2 linked regions of the Stegostoma tigrinum genome follow. The protein of the gene in region 2 interacts with the protein of the main gene of each other region in a pairwise test. Links are inferred from orthologs where the notes say so. Each region holds a gene or a part of one and is shown on either strand. Other genes may lie near its edges.

The links.
Region 1: the proteins of vasculin-like (region 2) and fibronectin type III domain-containing protein 11-like interact in binary tests that used the Homo sapiens proteins (3 or more experiments, as listed by UniProt). The link is inferred for Stegostoma tigrinum from reciprocal best matches to the Homo sapiens genes GPBP1 and FNDC11.

The regions. Positions count from the first base shown.
Region 1 is NC_081372.1:36,213,238-36,223,611, forward strand, and holds the start of fibronectin type III domain-containing protein 11-like, read left to right. Parts: upstream 1-6,041; 5' UTR 6,042-6,070; intron 6,071-10,374.
Region 2 is NC_081354.1:123,792,650-123,802,593, reverse strand, and holds the start of vasculin-like, read left to right. Parts: upstream 1-5,533; 5' UTR 5,534-5,671; intron 5,672-5,717; exon of another isoform or gene 5,718-6,257; intron 6,258-8,873; 5' UTR 8,874-9,045; intron 9,046-9,238; 5' UTR 9,239-9,294; coding exon 9,295-9,357; intron 9,358-9,944. UniProt on the Homo sapiens protein: Functions as a GC-rich promoter-specific transactivating transcription factor.

The DNA of each region.
Region 1 (10,374 bases), on a different chromosome or scaffold from region 2:
TCCTCAATCCTTGATCGGACATACCCTTTCTATGGTCATTCTCTTGTTCTGTACATACATGTAAATAGCTTTGGAGTTTTCCTTGATCCTATCTGCCAAGGTTTTCTCCTGCCCCCTTAGCTCTCCTAAGCTCTTGCTTCAGCTCCTTCCTGGCTAAGTTATATCCCTTTAGAGCCTTTCTGTTCCTCTTTTCGTAAACCGTACATAAGCCTCCCTCTTCTTCTTAACCAGTCGTTCGACCTCTCTCAAGAACCATGGCTCCCTTACTCAACCTTATCTTCCCTGCCCACTAGGGACAAACATATCAAGCACATGCAGTATGCATTCCTTAAACAATCTCCACATTTCTACAGTGCTCTTCCCTGACAGCATCTGTTCCCATTTTATGTTACCCAGTTCTTGCCTAACAGAATTGTATTTACCCTTCCCCCAATCATAAACTATACCCAGCTGTATGTACCTATCCTTACCCATGACTATCATGAAAGAAACAGAGTTATGATCGCTACCACCAAAATCCTCTCATACCAACAGGTCTAACACTTGGTCCGATTCGTTGCCAAGCACCAAATCCAAAGTGGCCTCTCCTCATGTTAGTCTATCTACATATTGCACCAGGAATCCTTCCTGAATGCACTGGACAAATTCCGCTCCATCTAAACTATTACAACTAAAATGTTTCCAATCAATATTTGGAAAGTTGAAGTCACCCATGACTACAACCCTGTGACTTCTGCACCTTTCCAGTATCTGCCTCCCAATCCACTCCTCCACTTCTCTGCAACTATTAGGGGGTCTGTCAAAAAGTCCCAATAAAGTGACTGCTCCTTTCTTGTTCCTGACCTCAACTCAAACTGACTCTGTAGATATATCATTCTCGAACTGTCTTTCAGTAGCTGTTATACTCACCCTGTCTAGCAATTCCACTCTCCCAACTCTTTTTCCACCCTCCCTATTTGTTTTAAAGCATCTAAGTCCCAGAACTTCCAGCAACCCTTTCTCTCCCTGAATTATTCAAATTCCTGTAATGGCCACAACATCGTAGTTCCAAGTGCCGACTCATGCTCTAAGTTCATCCGCTTTATTTCTGATACTTATAACATTGAAGTATACACACCTCAAACCATTTCAGTGTCCACCATTATGCTCTATCGACTGCATTTCTTTATAAACCACCTCACTCCCTGTTGTGTCTGTTGGAAGGCCGAATACCTCATCCTCTGAATTACAAATCCAGTTCCCAACGCCCTGCCAATTCAGTTTAAACCACCCCGTACAGCTCCCTCCCAGGATATTTGTGCCCTTCTGGTTCAGATGCAACACCTCCTTACTGTATAGGTCCCACCTTCCCCAGAATGTGTTCCAATTATCCACATAAATATCTAGACGTTTCCTTTTCTTTTGGCTGTCCCTTTTATTTCTGCTTCTGTTTTTAATCCAATCCTTTGTATCCTAAGATGTTGCCAGAGAATAGTGACTTTGTGCACTTTTCACTGTATTACTGTATTTCTGTTTTCAGGTACACACGACAATAAAAAATTTAAATTGAAAACTAAATCTAAATTTCATTCTGGCCTAGCCGATAATGGTTACATCTTATGAACAAATATTAAAAAAACCTCTCAAAAAATCCCATGAAAATATTTTACTCTTGAATAACATGGACCTGCATTTGATGCATGTGAACTGAGATCCAAATTCATTTCTCATATATTGCAAATAGACACAAGCCTATACTCTCAAAGGTGTAAACAAATGTATGATGGAATGCTGAGATAACAAGGTGTAGAGCTGGATGAACACAGCAGGCCAAGCAACAGCAGAGGAGCAGGAAAGCTGAAGAAGGGTCTGGGCCCGAAACGTCAGCTCTCCTGCTCCTCTGATGCTGCTTGCCCTCTGTGTTCATCCAGCTCAATTCCTTGTTATCTCAGATTCTCCAGCATCTGCAGTTCATACTATCTATGATGGAATACTGTTGGAATGCCATTTTGCCTTAGAATCATAGTCTGGATGCAAGAAATCTACAGCTAGAGAATTTAGCGAATGGCAAAAGCACTGTTTTCCATGAATCTGAAGGAATTAAAGAAATCAAACAAACTTTCTAGTTTACAATATTCACTCTGTTGTGTCCCACATGCCATTTTTTTGTGATTTCAAAAGCATTATTATCAGTAGGTTATCTTCATCTTGCTCATTCTCTTGGCTCCATTACAAACATTTGTCACCAGAAAGTGCAAGCCATCACAACTGTAAGTTTTAGAGATAATGGGAACTGCAGATGCTGGAGAATCCAAGATAACAAAGTGTAGAGCTGGATGAACACGGCAGGCCAAGCAGCATTTTAGGAGCACTAAAACTATGTTTTGGGCCTAATGTTTAGGCTCAAAACATCAGCTTTTGTACTCCTAAGATGCTGCTTGGCCTGCTGCGTTCATCCAGCTCTACACAATTGTAAGTTTTCACAGTTATGTTATGTCAAAAACATCACATTCTACTTCTCCGCACGTTCTTCCCTCAAGATTTTCCAACTGTCATCCCAACATTATGATGGTATACAAGCTCAAGTTTCTTGCAGGTTAATACTGGCAAAGCCAAAGCTATTTTTTTTTCAATTGCCACTAGCATCTATATACCCATGAGCTTTATTCCGTCAATTTCTCCAAGAGTTTAATCAGATTAAATATACACCTAGACACACAGTCAAGGCTTGGATCCTTAATTGTGGCATAGCATGTTGAGTTCATTAGCTCAATTTCTCATGATAATTTTCAATCTACAAAATTCTCCTCCGTCTTTCCCACTCCCACCCCTGCCTCATTCTTACACAAATGTACTGGAATAGACATAAAGACAACATAACAAACTAATGCTGTAATTTAAGAGGTTTACTTTTAAATACTAAAATGACAGAAGCAACCTGCTATTATGTTCATTTCATTCAAGACTGATACATTTCCTGTTCATAACATTGTTCCGTTGTAAATGAAAGTATTTGAAAATGTTGGCACATAGTGTTATCTACCATGAGAACAAAGAGTGAAGTCAAACGCAAAATATAAATCTAATTTTGGATCCAGGTTTGCATTATGCTTGACTAGAAAGTGAAATCACAGAATGCTGTTAATCTTTGTTTTATCTCTGCTGTTTGCTACAACCCAAGTCCTGTATTATAAGTTGGAAGTGAGATGTATCAGAGTGAACATACTTTATGTTTAACGCTTCACGGCATGATATAAAGGTTAACCTCATGGCTCCTGAGGGAACAGCTGTGGGGGCTTAAATCACATGATCTTGCATGTATAAACTTGTCTGTCTGTTGTAAAGGTACAGATCTACAAAGATATTAAAAATGGGCTTTGTATTAATGGTTCATGGAGGGATAAATACTCAGTCGGATTGATGAAGGTAAAAACAAAGGCTTCTTCCAGTATTTGGGTCAACTTTCCTCCCTCATCAGTGCCAGCAGAAAAAAACACAATAACTGATCTCACATTTCATTACTGTCTGTGGTATATTGCTTTGCACAAAATGGGCTTCACAATGTTGATACATGAAATTACATGCTTTAGAAGTTCAGAAAACTCAAATCTTTCAGAGTAACAGATGTTCACTACAATATTGCATAAGGCAGAATTGATGGCAACTCAAAAAGTGTTGAACTGTGTCTATAAAGCTTAATATGGGTGAAGGCTAACATTTCCGGTAAAAATCAAATTTTAAATTTTAGTCATCGATAAAGCACATGTACAACTTTGCCTGTCTTGGCTTCTACACAGTGCTTTTGTTACCTCAAAGATTGAGTTCTCAAACTTTCTCTTTGTTTAATTCATTATATTTGAATGACTATTACACGAATGAAAGTTACTGGCTTTCTCTTTCTGTTGTAAGTGATGTATATTTTGATATTATTTGTTACAGTTCAGATTTTGAGTTCATCTTTTCAGTCACAACAATAAGCCAAGTCTTACAATACTCCTAATCAATGTTTTGTAAAGCAAATTGTTTTGTTTTGTTGCATTTTTATGTATATTTTACAACACACAAAACTTAATTTTTTTAAATTTCCTTACCTGAAAGAATTTTAGCAACCCACTCCATTATAAAAATACTTCGGTGCTTTTTCATGTTCAATATATCAATAGACAGTATCAACAATTTAGAAATGTTTTCTGATGTTTAAATTGTATTGTTAAGTTTGTATAATTTGAAACATTTACTTAAAAACAAAAGAAGGAGGATTAAAGTCAATTCTCCTTTTGACTTCAAGTGGAAGGGTAATTGCTACAGACCTTTTCTCCTGACATTTTATCCATCATTTTTTTGAATTAATAAAATGGAAAATATAATCTAATATTAATGATTATTAGTATAGAGCAGTTCCTTCATTACAAAAGATATTCAGAGAGATTTTCCAGCTTTGTAGCTCCTTAACAATGTTGTGCAGTTGATAATAAGTAGCTTGATCTCAAAATGAATGATATTAATGGATATGTAATAGGTATCTGACAATATCTTTGTAGTTTTGGCAATTTGTTGGAGTCAGAAAGAAGAGACATAATAGCAACATGCAGCAAATAACATCTTAGAGTGAAGACAACATAACTGGTCTTGTCAGATAAAGTACACTTGTTTCAGTCGAATACCAAGAACAGTCATTAGAATCATCTTGAGGAATCAACAGATTAAAGTATAATGAGCCAAGATAGATTTTGTACAATTTCAGAGATGTTTAATGTTCCCTTACCTTTAATAACCAGATATAATATTAATTTTCTGCTCTGAAGCTCCACATAAAATAATTTTCATGTTGGAGGCTGTTGAAATTAGGCATTTATGTTTTTGTATATAGATTGGGTCCATAACAGATGGGGTTGTTATAAATATTATGCCAAGCAGAATAGAATATTTGGTGCCAATAGTACAGTTCTCTCTCAGAACATAACTGAACAAAATCAGTAAAGTGCCAACGATTTTCAGCTAAATATGATTAGTACAATGCCAATCATTTGCCAATTAGCTCAGTATATGGGACAAACACAGAACAAAATGGATTAGAATAAATGTATAATGCTAGAGATTTAGCTCCTAGGTTCTTTTATACTAACATATTAAAAAATCAATTCCTAGATGCCTGCAAACAATGGGAGACAGTTTAGCATAATTTAATGGTTGAAACGGATACCCTGAAAATATTACATTGTTCATAGAACCACAGGATTGTTATATCTTCCCATTGTGCCTGCATTATCTAATGTCAGTCTCCTGCCTTTACCCCACATCCCTGCAGACCATAACAATTCAAACAAAAATCTAATGTCCTCCTGAATGCTTTTTACGTGGTATATTTAATTTTTGGCTTGTTTAACCATTTGTTTTAGTGAATGCAGCACATTATGGACTAGTCTGAGTTTCTGAAGCTCAAAAACTGTGAATAATATAACCATATCCTTTATGCATGTAGCCAGACGGTACATCATCCATTAAATCAAACATACAACAGTTCAAAACCTAAATTCACACATAATTTAGTTGGCAGCACTCTGCTGGTACTACTCTGAAGTAAGTAGTAAAACATAAAAGTTAGAGATCTGAATAAATATGTTCAATTTAACATCACTAAACAAATGCATCCTCAGTGATTAAGAGCTCCCCATTATTGCCATAGAGGAATCACTACATGATTACTGGGACATGAGAATTGGCATCCCCATAAGTCTTTTCTTAATGAGCTTGAACTTGAAATGTTGACTCTGTTTTTCTCTCCACAGATGCTGCCAGACCTGCTGAGTTTCTCCAACGCTTTGTTTTTGTTTCAGATCTCCAGCATCTGCAGTTCTTTGTTTTATACTATTGTGATATTGAGCCTCATTGGTCTGTGTAGTGAAGGTCCTCTCTCGGTGGCTTTCGGATGAAACATCCATGAATGTGATCCAACTGTAAAGAAACAACATTTCCCAATTACAATAGTGTGGGAGGAGATGATGGAGGTGGTGGATATCCCAATTAATCTGCTTTGTTCCTCCAGGGGAAGGATGTTAGGGATTGTGGAATTGCTGCTGAAGAGGATTTGGTGAGTTGTTGCAGTGTGTCTTATACATTCTGTGATGGAGTGAGTGAATGCTTATGGTGAAACGGGAGCTATTGATCAAGTATGCTGCCTTCTTCCAGCTGGTATCAAGCTTCCTGAGTTTTAGAGCTGCACTTATCTGGACAGTATTTCATAACATTCCTGATTGGAATCTTTTAAGTAGTGTAAAAACTTTGAAGAGTCAGGAGGTGAGTCACTCACTGCAGAATACCAGCCTCTGACCTGTTCCTGGAAGCACCCATTGTGATAACTGCCCAGATGTTGAAAGTGGGAAGTTCAGTGAAATTAATGCTATTGAATGTCAAGGGGAGATGGTTAAATTTTCTCCAAGGAGCATAGAAAGAAGTGGCACAGAAAGATGCCATTCAGTCCAACATGTCTGTGATGGTTTCAAAAGATCTATTCCAACTATTGGTTTCTAAACCAATAGGCTACAGTATTTTGAGCACATACCAAAGTATTTATTTGTTAAACAGGATGAGGATTTTTGCTGCTCCCATCCTTTCAGGCAGTGCGTTCCAGACTCTGACCACCTTCTGGCTGAAAATGTTACTTCTTAATTCCTCCCTAAATCTTCTATTAAACTGTTTAGGACTATGTCTCTCACCCTCTTTATTGACATTGGTGGTAAGAGAAATAAATTCTTTCTACCTATTTATTGCAGCCATTCATATTCTTATTGAGCTCAATTATGTCGCCTCTTCATTTCTTGCAATCCAAAGACAATAACCCTAGCCTATTCAGTCTTCTATATATTATCTATTATGATTACATTCTTCCTATAATGTAGAGACAAGAACTGTATGAAGTCCTCTACCTGTCACCTAACAAGTGTCTTATATGTTCTTTCCCCCAATATCCCTCCAAAAAGGAACACCACATATGTTGATCTATCCTCTTTCAAGGACACTAAATTCATAAATGTTTTCTCTTTGACCTGTTACATCCTGGGATCCGTGAAAATGCACTGTTATGTGCCTCTCTTTCTCTACACCATTCAGAACATGATTGCTCATTGTGTATTTCTTTCCCTTGTTTGTCTCTTCAAATACATTTCCTCACATTTCTGCAGATTGACTTGCATTTGCCACTTTTCTACCCACCTTAGCAGTCCGTCGATATTTTTCTGCAGGCTGCAGCTCTTCTTCCTCATTATCATTCATACAGTCAAATTTATGTATCACTTGCAAATTTCTCACTCATATCACATAAATGTAAGTCTAAAATGTGGATACATACCACATGCAAGATGCCATTGATTACCACTTTCGGTCAGCAGTCAAATTGAACTAAATTAATCAAATCACCAGAAAAGATTGCCACTTCTGTTTTTAGGAAGGAGGGAAGGTAACTGACAAAGCAGTTGAACTTGATTTGAGCAAATCACTGTAGATGCTGGAATCTGTACTGAAAACAACAAATGTTGGAGATCACAGCGAGTCAGACAGCATCCAAGGAGAGAGAGAGAGCAAGCCAGTGTTTCAAGTCGAGATAACTCTTCATCAGAGCTAAAATGAGGTGTGGAGGGGGGGCAGCATTTATGCTTTCATTGGCAGGTCAGTGTGGTGGTGGTGGGTTGTGGAGTGCTGGTGAAGAAAAGATGTTGATAGTTTAGATTAAGTGATTGGAATGTGAGAATGGCAGAACAGTGGTGTGTCTAAGTGCCAGAGAAGACAGTCCCACAGGTGTGGGGGAGGTGAGAGAGGACATGGTGACAGAGAATGTAGCAAGTAAAGCTAGAAAAAGGGAAGACCTGTTCTTCTCAGTTTCCCAGCTTCAACACAATATTGTTACATGGAAAAAAACCTACCAATTAAAATACAGGGCATAGATCCTCATTCATATCTTAAGAATACATTCAGTTTTGATGTCAAAGCCCAGGAAGGATATAACGGTCCTAGAGATGATCCAGCGCACATTTACATTTATAGAATGAGACAAGGCTTCAGGAGATTAAATTAAATGTGAATAAATGTGGCTTGTCTTACCTTGGTTACAATGAAACTGTTCAAAGTAATAAAAGATCTTGATCAAGTAAGTATGGAGAAAGTACTGCAGGAAATCAAAAGCAAGCACGAACAGTCTCTATTTTTTTAAATTCACACCTTTGTTATTTAATGCAGTAAATGAAAAATCCCTAGTACAGATTCATGAAACAATTTCATTCCCTGAAACAAATTAATTCCCTGAAACAAATTCTTGGCCTGCTCATGATCCGGAGTGGCTACAGCTTACGTGACATCAATTAAACAATTGAGTCAAAACTGACAATTAACAGAAACTGCTCTTGAATTACTTTCTCAACTTTTTGAAGAGTCTCTGGGCAATTGCAACATAAAATATGTCAATGATCTTTAATGAGTTTTACAATATTTTACTGAATAAACCAGGCAGAATGATGGTGAAAATTCAACGAGTTAGCTAAATCTCAATTTTATGAGTTCTGAGGATGGGTCACTTGACCCGAAATGTTAACTCTGATTTCTCTTCACAGATGCTGCTGAATTTTTCCAGCAATTTCTGTTTTTATTTCTCAACTTTAGAGCTTGATTTCATCCTATACAAACAATGTTGTGTTCAATATGCTATGAGAAATTTCCAATCATACTTTTTAGCAATGAGACCTACTTGTCACAACTCAGTGTCGAAAAATATTTACTTCATTGATACATTGATACAGTTGCTTGGGTAAAATACAGCTACGTCACTTGGACCTGATGAGTTATCCTAGGATATTAAAGGAAGTAGCTACAGAGATTTGATTGATTGATTGATTTATTTATTTATTGTCACATCGATTTTGTTCCAAATTCATTGAAAAGTGTTCAATGATGTCACTACTCTCCAGCACCATCTTAAAATGCAGAAAAACAAAAGATAGATATTAAAGACAGAAAAATAAAGAAATAATGAAAAGTTTTCAACTCGTTGTTAAATGCTCCATCCTGGTGGTCCCTGGGCCTAGTGACCAGGCATGAGTGGGTATGGTGGCTCGGTGGTTAGCGCTGCTGCCTCACAGTGCCAGGGACCTGGGTTCCATTCCACCTTTGGGTGACTGTCTGGGTGGAGTTTGCACATTCTCCCCATGTCTGCATGGTTTTGCTCTGGGCACTTCAATTTTTCCCAGGGTCCAAAGGTGTGCGGGTTAGGTGGATTGGCCATGCTAAATTGCCCAGTGTGTCCAGGAATGTTTGGTTGAATAGATTAGCCATGGGAAATGCTGGATTACAGGGTTAGGGTTGGGGGGTGTGGTCTGCCTTGAATTCTGTTTGGCGGGTTGGTGTTGACTTGTTGAGCTGAATGGCCTGCATCTACACTGTAGGGATTCTATGTTTTGATGATATTATGAGTCCCCTTTGTTGCGCCACTGTTGGAACGAACGTTGCCACCCTTCAGCGCTATCTTGTTTCTACTGATGCCTGCACCACTCTGAGCCCTCGCTGAACCTCACCAGTGCAGCTACCACCAATACTGCCAGGTATCGCATCTGCCCAGATGTGACTCCGCTGCCACCATGTGTCTGCTTCAAGCAGAAATATTACAAGAATCTTTTAGATTATGGAAAAGACCTAAACGATTGGAAAAGTGCGAATGTCACACCTTTATTCAAACAAACTATTTAGGCCAGTTAACCTAACATCTGTCATTAGTAAAATGTTAGAGCCTATTCTAAGGAATATAGTAACAGAGAATTTAGAAATGCATAATCTAACCAAGCAGAGTTAGCATCAGCTTTACAAAGGAGAAGCCAATTCTGACAAATTTATTAAAATACTTTGAAAAGGTAAAAGGTAGGATGGATAATGGGAACTCAGTAGATGTAATATATTTGGATTTCCAATATACATTTGATAAGGCACCACAGATAAAGCAAATTAATAAGAGCCCATGGCGGTTAGAGTAGGGTGTTGGCATAGGTAGAGAATTGACTAAATAAAAGCAAACAGAGAATTGGAATAAAAATAACATTTCCAGGATGGTAGGCCGTAACTGCTGGAGTGCAACAGTGTTGAATGCTGAATTTACAATTGTTTGGATGAGGAGAGTGAATGTACTATTGCCAAGCTTGCAGACAACACAAAAATAGTTGGGAAGGTAAGTGCTAAGAATAAAGCGATGAGTCTATAGAGGGATATAGAGAGGTTTAAGCTGTTGGTGAAAACTTGGCAGATGCAATATAATGCAGGAAAAAGTGAAGTAATGCACTTGGGTGAGAAGAATAGAGGAGTGAAAGTTATTTAAATAAGGAAAGAAAGCTACAGCACATTTAGGGGTTTTGAGGCTCT
Region 2 (9,944 bases):
GTGTCATTCACAAACTTGGCAATAATACATTCACTTCTCTCATTTGAATCGTATATATGTAATAAGTAATTGTGACCTCATCACTGATCCTTGTCGCATCCATAAGTTACAGGTTGGCTTCTTCAATATGATTTTCTCATCTTAACTCTTCGTCTTCTTTTAGTTAGCTGGTTGTCAATCCATGCTAATGTGCGATCCTCAACACCATGAGCTCTTATTAAATTTTGTGGGGTACCTCATTGAATATACCTGTCAAAAATGTAAATATGTCATATTTACTGGTTCCCTTTTATCTGTCCTGTTTGTTACATCCACAAAGAATTCTAATCGATTCAAAGAATAAAGAACAAAGAAAATTACAGCACAGGAACAGGCCCTTCGGCCCTCCAAACCTGCGCCGATCGAGATCCTCTGTCTAACCTGTCATCTATTTTCTAAGGGTCTGTGTCCATTTGCTCCCCACCCATCCATGTACCTGTCCAGAAATATCTTAAAAGACACTAACGTGTCTGCGTCCACCACCTCTGCTGGCAACGCGTTCCAGGCACCCACCACTCTCTGCGTAAAAAACTTTCCACGCATATCTCCCTTAAACTTTCCTCCTCAATTGGCATTCCTTCAATTGGCATAACTTTGTTTTCATGCAGCTGTATTGATTCTGCTTGATCATAAAGGATATAATAGTAGAGAATTTAGAAATACATCATTTTTTGTAATGATGAGGCTATCATTTACTGCCTGTCGCTTTTTGCCCTTGAGAAGATGGTTGGAAGCTGCCTTCTTGAACCACTGTGGTCCACATTCTGTAGGTAGATTCACATTGGAATTCCCTCCCTAATGGCATTGTGTCTCCATTATCTCTGTAGCTACTTGCTCTAATATCCCAGGATGTAACCAACTGGGGCCAATGGACCAATTAATCTTAAGCACCATCAGTTTCCCTCATAGACTTTTTCTCAAGTAATAGTTATTAAATTCATTTCTTCCTACCTTCTGCCCTTGTTAATTTGGTATTTTTGGAATGCCAGTAGTTTTGTCTACTGTGAAGACTGTTGCAAAGTAGTTATTTAGCTCTTCCGCTATTTCTCCCTTCCCTCCCCCACCACTTCGTCTCATCTCTGTCCCATACACACTCATTACAGCCTTGGACAAAAGCATTAAATTCCAGATGTGAGGTGAGAGTGACAGCCTTTTACATCAAGTCTGCATTTGACCGACTGAGTGTACCATTAAGGAGTCCTAACAAAACTGGAATCAGGGACAAACACTCCAGTGGTTGGAGTCATAACCTGGCACCTGGGAAGATGGTTGTGGTTGTGGGAAGTCAGTCATCTCAGCTCCAGAATATCTTTACAAGAGTTCCTCAAGGTCATGTTCTGGGCTTAACCATCTTCAACTGTTTCATTAATGACCTTCCCTCCATCATCAGGTCAGGAATGGGAATGTTTGCTAATGATTTTGCAATGTTCAGCACCATGCACGGCTCATTGGATACTGAAGCAGTCCATAGTTAAATGCAAAAAGAGTAAACCTACACAATATCCAGGTTTGGGCTGACAAGTGGCAAGTAACCTTCATGCCATGCTAGTGCCAGGCAATGACCATCTCCAACAAGAGACAATTTAACCACCATCCCTCGACATTCAGTCATGCTCCCATCACTGATTTCCCCCTCTATCAACATCCTTCGGGTTACCATTGACCAGAAACTCAACTTGCCGTATAAAACAACGGCTACAAGAGCAAGTCAAAGGCTAGGAATGCTGCAGTTAGTAATTCTCCTCTTGGCTCCCCAAAGCATATCCATCACCAAAATGGCACATGTCAGGAGTGTCATGGAATACTCTCACTTGCTTGGGTGCATACAGCTCCAAAAACATTCAGGAAGCTTGACACCATCCAAGACTAAAGTCACCAACTTGATCAGCACTATAGCAACAAACATTCATTTCCTGTCCCAAAAACACTCAGGATCAACATTGTGCATGGCCTACAAGATGCACTGCAGAAATTTGCCAAAAATCTTGGACAGCACCCTCCAACTCCACAACCATTTCCATCTAAAAGGGCAGCAGATGTATGAAAAAACACCACTCACTGCAAGTTTGCCTCAAAGCCACCATCCTGACTTGGAATGTCACTGTTCCTTCACTGTCGCTGAGTCAAAATCCTGGGATTCTCTCTATAATGGGATTGTGGGCCTACCAGCAGCACACAGACTGCCGCGATTCAAAAAGACAGCTCACCACCACTTTCTTAAAGGCAGCTAAGAACAAGCCATAAATGGCAATCAGCCAGCAATTCCCAAATCCTATGACAGAATAAGAAAAGCACATCCTCTCTCTCCCACAACATACTCATCTCTCCTTCTTTCATGCTCTCTTGCTGTGTCCCTTCCTTCTCCCCTTGCGCAGTCTCTCTCCCTTCTGCAGATTCTCTCTTCCTCCCTCACACACTCTTTCTTCCTGTCCCTTATACCCTACCTCCTGTTCCTTAACACCCTCTCTCTTTTCCTCTCTCACTATTTGCCTCTCTCAGGTACACTCTCTCTTTGTCTGGCTAACTGAGCTTCACTCCACCCAGCAACAACACTTTCAACCTCTGGACTTTGTGGCACACATTGTCTCCACTCTGACATACACTTCTGTTTTTCTAGTTATGAAGGTATGTTCTTGCTGTTGCTGCCACTCCTCTTCCTCATGGCCTTCCCAAATGCACCACCATTTTGAGTTCCTTCAGTGCTCTAGCAGTAGGACAGCAAGAAGTTAATGTTGAAGTTGGATAATTAGAATTAGATTTTATTGTCATGTGTACTTACGTACAGGGATACAAGAGTACAGTGAAAAGTGTACAATGTCACCATTCTTGGCACCATCTTAGGTACAAGGTAGAAAAATAAGTAATAGAGTTAAACATTCAACATTAAAGTACTTTGTACTTGTATAAAGTACAAAAATAAAGGAATGAAGTTAAAAGTTCCACGTTAAAGTCTTCTTAAGTGCTTAGCCATGTTTGACTTGCACTCCGCGCATGGGTGCAATCTCCTCCTTGCTGAGCTCGATCTTCTCTGCGTTAGGCATGCTCTTCACCACCACAGTGCTGGGCTCGATGTCCGCCACGCTGGTCTCGATGTCCCCCACGCTGGGCTCAATCTCACTGCACAGCACCGTAGTCAACTCCCTCCACTGCTGCTGCTGGGAACAAACTTTGGCTCAGATGTGCTGGACACCTTGATTCCACTGATCTCTCCACAGAAAGTAAATAGATTAAAGTAAGAAAAGAAAACTTTGGAAGAAAAAAGGGTATAAGACACTTATTAGACCTCAGATGAAAGACTGTTTACAGTAACAGCACCACATTGCAGGAAAGATTTGAATGCATTGGAGAGAGTACAGAAGCAATTTACAACAATGCTTCCAGAAAAAAAAACTTCAGTTCTGAGGATAGGCTGAAGAAGTTGGATTGTTTTCCTTGGAGCGAAGAAGACTGAGAAGAGATTCAGTCGATGTCTTTAAAGTCGTGAGTGGGCTGATAGTTAGGGAGGAACTTCTCCCACTCATAAAATACAAAAGAGTGAGCAGGCATAGATTTTGAATTGATGAGCAAAAGAAGCAAGGGTGATGCAAGAAAAACATTTTATTGTACAGTGACTGGCAGAAGGTAGAGTAGAGTTCTTTTTCAGGTTGAGATTGCTGAGCGCTTGCAAGTGCGCACTAAAACAGGATGGAGTCAGCATGATTTCATCATGGCAAGGTCATACCTGGCAAATCCATTAGAATTCTTTGAGGAAGTAACAAGCAAGTTAGACAAAGGATAGCCAGCATACATGATTACTTAGATTTCCAGAAGGTCTTTCACAATATGCTGCACAGGAGACTGATAAAAAAGAGCTCATACCCAGACACAAAAACAGAAGTTGCTGGAAAAGCTCAGCAGGTCTGGCAGCATCTGTGAAGAGAAATCAGAGTTAAAGTTTCGGTTCCGTTGACCCTTCCTTAGAACTGTTCCGAGGAAGGGTAATCAGATCTGAAACATTAACTCTGATTTTTCTTCACAGATGTTGCCAGACCTGCTGAGCTTTTTCAGCAATTTCTATTTTTGTTTCTTATTTACAACATCCACAGTTCTTGTGGTTTTTATTAAGAGCCCGTGGTGATAGGGGCAAGGTACTGGCATGGGTAGAGGATTGGTTGACTGGCAGATGGGTCTTTTTCAGAATGGCAGCGGCAATTAGTGAAGTTCCACATGGGTCTGTGTTGGCAACACAACTATTCATGTCAGACATCAACAATCTGAATGAAAGAGCTGACAGCATTGTTGCTAAGAGATAATGGGAACTGCAGATGCTGAAGAATCCAAGATAACAAAGTGTGAAGCTGGATGAACACAGCTGGCCAAGCAGCATCTCAGGAGCACAAAAGCTGCAAGGGTCCAGACCCGAAACGTCAGCTTTTGTGCTCCTGAGATGCTGCTTGGCCTGTTGTGTTCATCCAGCTTCACACTTTGTTAGCATTGTTGCTAAACTTGCCGATGACACAAAGATAGATGGACGGACAGTTTGAGTTGAGGAAGACGACAGGCTAGGAGATTGAGTAAAGAGGCAGATGGAATGCAACCTGGGAAAGTGTGAGGTTCTGCATCTTTGTAGGAAGAATTGAGGTGCAGATTATTCTCTAAATGGGGAAAGACCTCAGAAATCTGAAACACAGAGGGACTTGGGAGTTCTGGTTCTGGATTCTCTGGCGGTTAACATGCAATTTCATTTGGCAGTTAGGAATTCAAAAGCAATATTAGCATTCATTTCAAGATGGCCCTGTATTTAAGGATGTGCTGGTGTTGCAGGGAGTCCACAGAAGGTTTACAAGAATGATCTCAGAGATGAAGGGCCTGTCGTATGAAGAACAGTTGATGATCATGTACTTGACAGAGTTTAGAATATGAGGGGGGAACAGTTTGAAACTGAAAAGCCTGGACCTGGAGATATTTCCACTCAATCATGGAGCAGGTCAACTCAGGCTCCTACCCCCAGGGCAATACGATGGCTCAATGGTTAGCACTGCTGCCTGACGGCACCAGGGACCTGGGTTTGATTCCAGCCTCGAGAGACTGCCTGTGTGGAGTTTGCATATTCTCCCCGTGTCTGTGTGGGTAGCCTCCCACAGTCTGACGATGTGCAGGTTAGGTGGATGGGCCACGCTGAATCGTCCATAGTGGGAAATGCAAGGATAGGGTAGGGGATTGGTATGGGTGGGATGCTCTTCGGAGGATCGATGTGGACTTGATGGGCCGATTAGTCTGCTTCCACACCGTAGGGATTCTGTTCTATGATTCTGATCGATATTGGATTTAACTGCAATCTGAGTTTTCAATGTCCGCGTCGACCGACACAAACGATACACCACAGAACAGGCGACGCGCATGCTCAGCGGTGTCGCCCGGTGTCTGGTGGCGCGCAGGCGCATAGCTCAGGCGGCAGTGGCACGCAGGCGCAGAGGGGATTTTTCAGGGGGCTCGCCAAGGGTTGAGGGCGGATCTCGCGTGATCTGAAGCCTGGCCTTTAAATTTATTTTCCCATTGGATGACCCTTGGTGCAACGTCACTCCCTGCCGGGTCAAACAGTAAATTGTATTTAATTTCCAGATTACAGGTTAAAATGAAGTGCGTGGGAAAGGTGAGGTCGCTCAGTTGGTGATGGGAATGGCAGTATCCTGTTTGCCCAGTGCCCTGTTTATTGACCGAGATGGAAGTTTGTACTTTGCTTTTGTCCCTGATTTTTATTTTCGTCCTGACGTCATTGAAGCGACCGGCCCGTGTCGTCATCACGTGGTGCCTGATGTCGCTTAAGTTTAGAGATTGTGGAGGCGCTGGAAGAGTTTGAAGATTAATTTTGAATATAGAAAGGAGCCATCTCCCTGTCTCACTTTGGTTGCATCTGTATCTGTTGTTGGTGATGCTTTGTCCTTCCTGTGTTTGTAGTTTCTTCTCGCTTTCAAAACGGCCAATTTCCTAAACCTTTTCATTCATTCCGCTTTCCCAAATATTTACAAACGTGGAGAATTTCTGAGGCCTAATTGTCGCTGTTTGTAAACAAGAATAAGAAACAGTTGTTTGTTGGTTATACTTCACTTTTTGCTGCCAAGTTCTTGAAAGAATTTTCTTCTATTCAATTTGAGCATTAGTGAACGTACCATTAATTACATCAGAGTGTTGCTTCATGTAACTCAACTTCACTGTTATGCCGCGGGATATCTGCAACAGTAAGTGTATACTTAACATTTTCAGATGTGTCATTTAAATACAGCTTTTCATACTGACTCTTATTTGAATATTACTTAATATGCTGCTTGGTTAAATATGCTAAGAGTTCATTTTGAAATTGAGCCTAACTAATTTTTTAAGCCTTCAGTTTTTTGGGTTGTGGCCTAAAACCATTGCAAAATGTTGTTTCTAAAATTAACTTTAACTTTAACTTAAACTTTTTAAACCTGTGTAATATTTTTGTCTTTCTTTGTGTAAATTTAAAAAAAAATTTCAATTGTTGGTAACAAATGAAGAAAGTAAGGTACAGTTGGAGTAAAAACACTTGTTTTGGATACAAGGGTTGTGGCTAATTGGGAATTCTGAGCTAAAAAGTTTATAAACTTCTGTAAATGAAAATTTTAGCACATAGGTTGAACTCAACTCTTACCTTTACAACCTGCATCTGAAATTTTTTGGTAACTAGTCTTAATGTGCTTAAACTTACTGTCAATTTTTAACCTAGTTTTGCTTCTGTGGGGTGAGCTTCTTGCATTAAAGCTATGATATGAATGTTGTACTATCAGAAGAAGAGGGAATTTACATGAATATGTAGCCATGTTAGCATGAATGAGTGTCATCTTTGTCAAATCTCTGGTGTTTGAAGATGCAGAGTAATTGTCACATGAATTTCTGAAAATGATGTATGCTAGCTGAAATGACTTAATTGAAGAGGTATGAGCTAGTGAGGAGTATGCACTGAACTGAAAATTTGTCAGTACAAGGCTTTTTTTTGGTTGTACTGCTGTGGTGTGAAGAATCAGAATTACGAGAGAAATTAAGAATGACTTGGACTTTGAAAAGTATCATGTGCCATCGTATGTGAATACACCAATCCCCCCTCCTTTTGGCATCTGAAATGATGCAAAGTATTTATTAGTTCATTTTCTAAAGATGTTCCTGAAGTGGATTCCACCCATCTCTTAACTTTCAGCTAATGGTGGTCACTAAATGAATGGTTAAACTTAAAGGGTGAAGTGATGGTTAGTGTAAGAAATAACAGTAGAAAAAAATTCAAGTAGTAAATTAGATGCTACTTTTCTGAACTTGCTGTGAAGAGACCTTGGTAGAAGAAAGTAAAGAGAGGTTTAATCTGGCTGCATTCTGTTTGAAATGCTGGATGCTGACACCTGCTGCCAACAGAAGGGAAAAATGTTTTGTTTATCAGTATTATTGACATTCCTCACATTGAGTACAAATGCTCTATTGATTTGTATGAGGGAAAATAAGATGTATTGGTAGTCTCTTTGCTATTTACAATAACCAAGTTTTCAAATGAGAGCCAGGTATCAGGTGAAGTTGATGTTGAGAATTTAAGGCACCTAGTGTATTTGTTTGAAGTGTTTTCTATTAATTTGTGCAAACTGCCACCTTTGCGAAGTGGCAGTTCATATTCATTCCTACCAGGTCTTGAAGAACTGGGAGGATGGCATGTTGGGAAGGATATATTTTGCTATTGGTGATTGTCAGCATGATTATCTTTTGTAGTTTTAGGTCTTTAATAACTGTATTTTACCTATGCGTATCGATTAGGTGCTGTTGATTTCCATCAAGACTTTGATATTAGTTGATCAAACTAGATATAAATGAATATCTCGGTAGAAACTGCATCCTTGGTGAATAAGTGGGTATTTTTGGGTAAATTGTATGATAGTATTCATGTTTAAACTTGTGTAAGTTTAAGTAAGAAAGAAAATAGCTATATTCAATATCCGTTCACCTCACTTTTTGTAGTTCTGACAGGTTGCCTAGTTACAGTAGAAGTGTAACAGAACACGTCTGTTTATCCATGTTGCAGTTTTGAGTTGCTGTTATGTCAAGATTAATTGGCTTCCTTTTGATCTGTTCCTTTTCTAATCAGTGTACAGTATTATTTTAAGTAACTTCTGTTCCTTTTTAAGGTATGACTTCAGTGAATTCAATTTTAAGCACTTCATGAAAACCTTGAGTTTGTGAATGAACATAGTACACTTTATAGGGTTAAAGGTGTAGCATGATTTAACTACATAAATGACTTCAGTGCTAGGTATTGCTTGGTGCAGTAGGGTTTTGTGCTTGGCTGTGAGGTAGCTTTCACTTACTTTCTGTCTGGAAATAAACATTGCTACAGTTACGCCACTATTGATAGCTCTTTTTGTACCAAGTCTTTATTTTTCTTTTCTATATTGTCCTCATTATTTATCTTGCTTAGTATAATCTCCATAGGAAATGGTAATATTTATGGAGTTGTGAACCTTTTCAGATTTTTCTCCACTTTTTTTCAACTAGCCTCCATGGGCTGAAGTAGGTGCAATATTTGTGTACATTCTAACACTAGAAAGAATACAAGTTTTACTGAGAACCAAAGCTTCATATTATTGACTTTTTTAAAAAAAAGTCCACACTCTATACATCATTAACTGCCCAAACTGGTAGTAATGATTATCTACTACTCATTGCATTTCCTAAGGCACATTGCAATTATTTCACTGCAAAAAAAAGCACTTTGTGTAAAAATTCTCACCAACAAATCAGATGGACAAGGTACATTGGATTTCTTGACAATGTCTAATTTCCTTTCATGTACATTTCTACAGTTTTCCAACCTTTTATCAGGTTCATACAGCAATAAATGCTGATGCGGTTAAAACTGGAAAAATGAATCTTTGAATGACCCTTGGGTTGTGCTGCGATGAAAAGAAGCAGAGTCGTGTGGTGCTGTTGCTGGGAAGTTCACACTGTGGAATTGCTCCCTTTTGGTGAAGAAAGGTACATTGATAGATCCTGAATTATGATAAGACAATAATGCACTGATCTGTTGCTAGCCTTTGTTATTTTCTAATTTTTCATTCTTAAAAAAACAACGACAAATAAAAAGGTTAAAATAGGTTTTGTTTATTCTGAGTTACATTGAGGAAACAGAAGTCGACTCAAGATAATCATATGTATTTTACACTTATAGGGATCTGCCATGAGGTGTTGATACCATATTTTAAAACCCTGAGACATAGGACCTAAATGGCGCAGCATGACTTTGCTCCAGCCTGGCTTAATTTTCCAACTCCACCTTCATCAACTAAGGTATTAGAATACACCATTTAACTTTTGCATTTTCTGATATTTGAACAGCTCACTTTTTTGGTTCACAATATTTGTTTCACAAGGATTCTTTTGTGTACAAGTGGAATATTCAATTCTTATAACTGCAGTACGTAAGAATGTGTTTTTTCTAGTTGAGGACGAATGTTGCTTGTGCTTTGTTTTGTAAACTGATTTTAATTGGACTGTTTAATTAAGTTGTAATATGGATTTTTAAAAAATCTATTATTTCCTTGTAATAGATTAACTCTTGAAATCTCAGTGACTGCTTTCCATTGATCAAGTGTTAAATCTTGTTTTTCAATATAAATTGGAATGCACTAACTTCTATTATTAGACATAAAACATAAAAATTTCAGAGCATAAATTGTAGCCATTTGGCCTCTTAATTGTCTGTGTCCTCTTTTTGGTAGAGAATTCAAAATGAATGCAGTTTCCCCAAAATGTGTTTTTACTTTCTTTGCACTCAGTTTTCTTTTAAATGATGCAATCATACTTCAACTGCTCAGAGTTGCAATAAAATTCCAAATTTCAATAATTTCAGACCACAAATTTAGAACCTGCGCGTT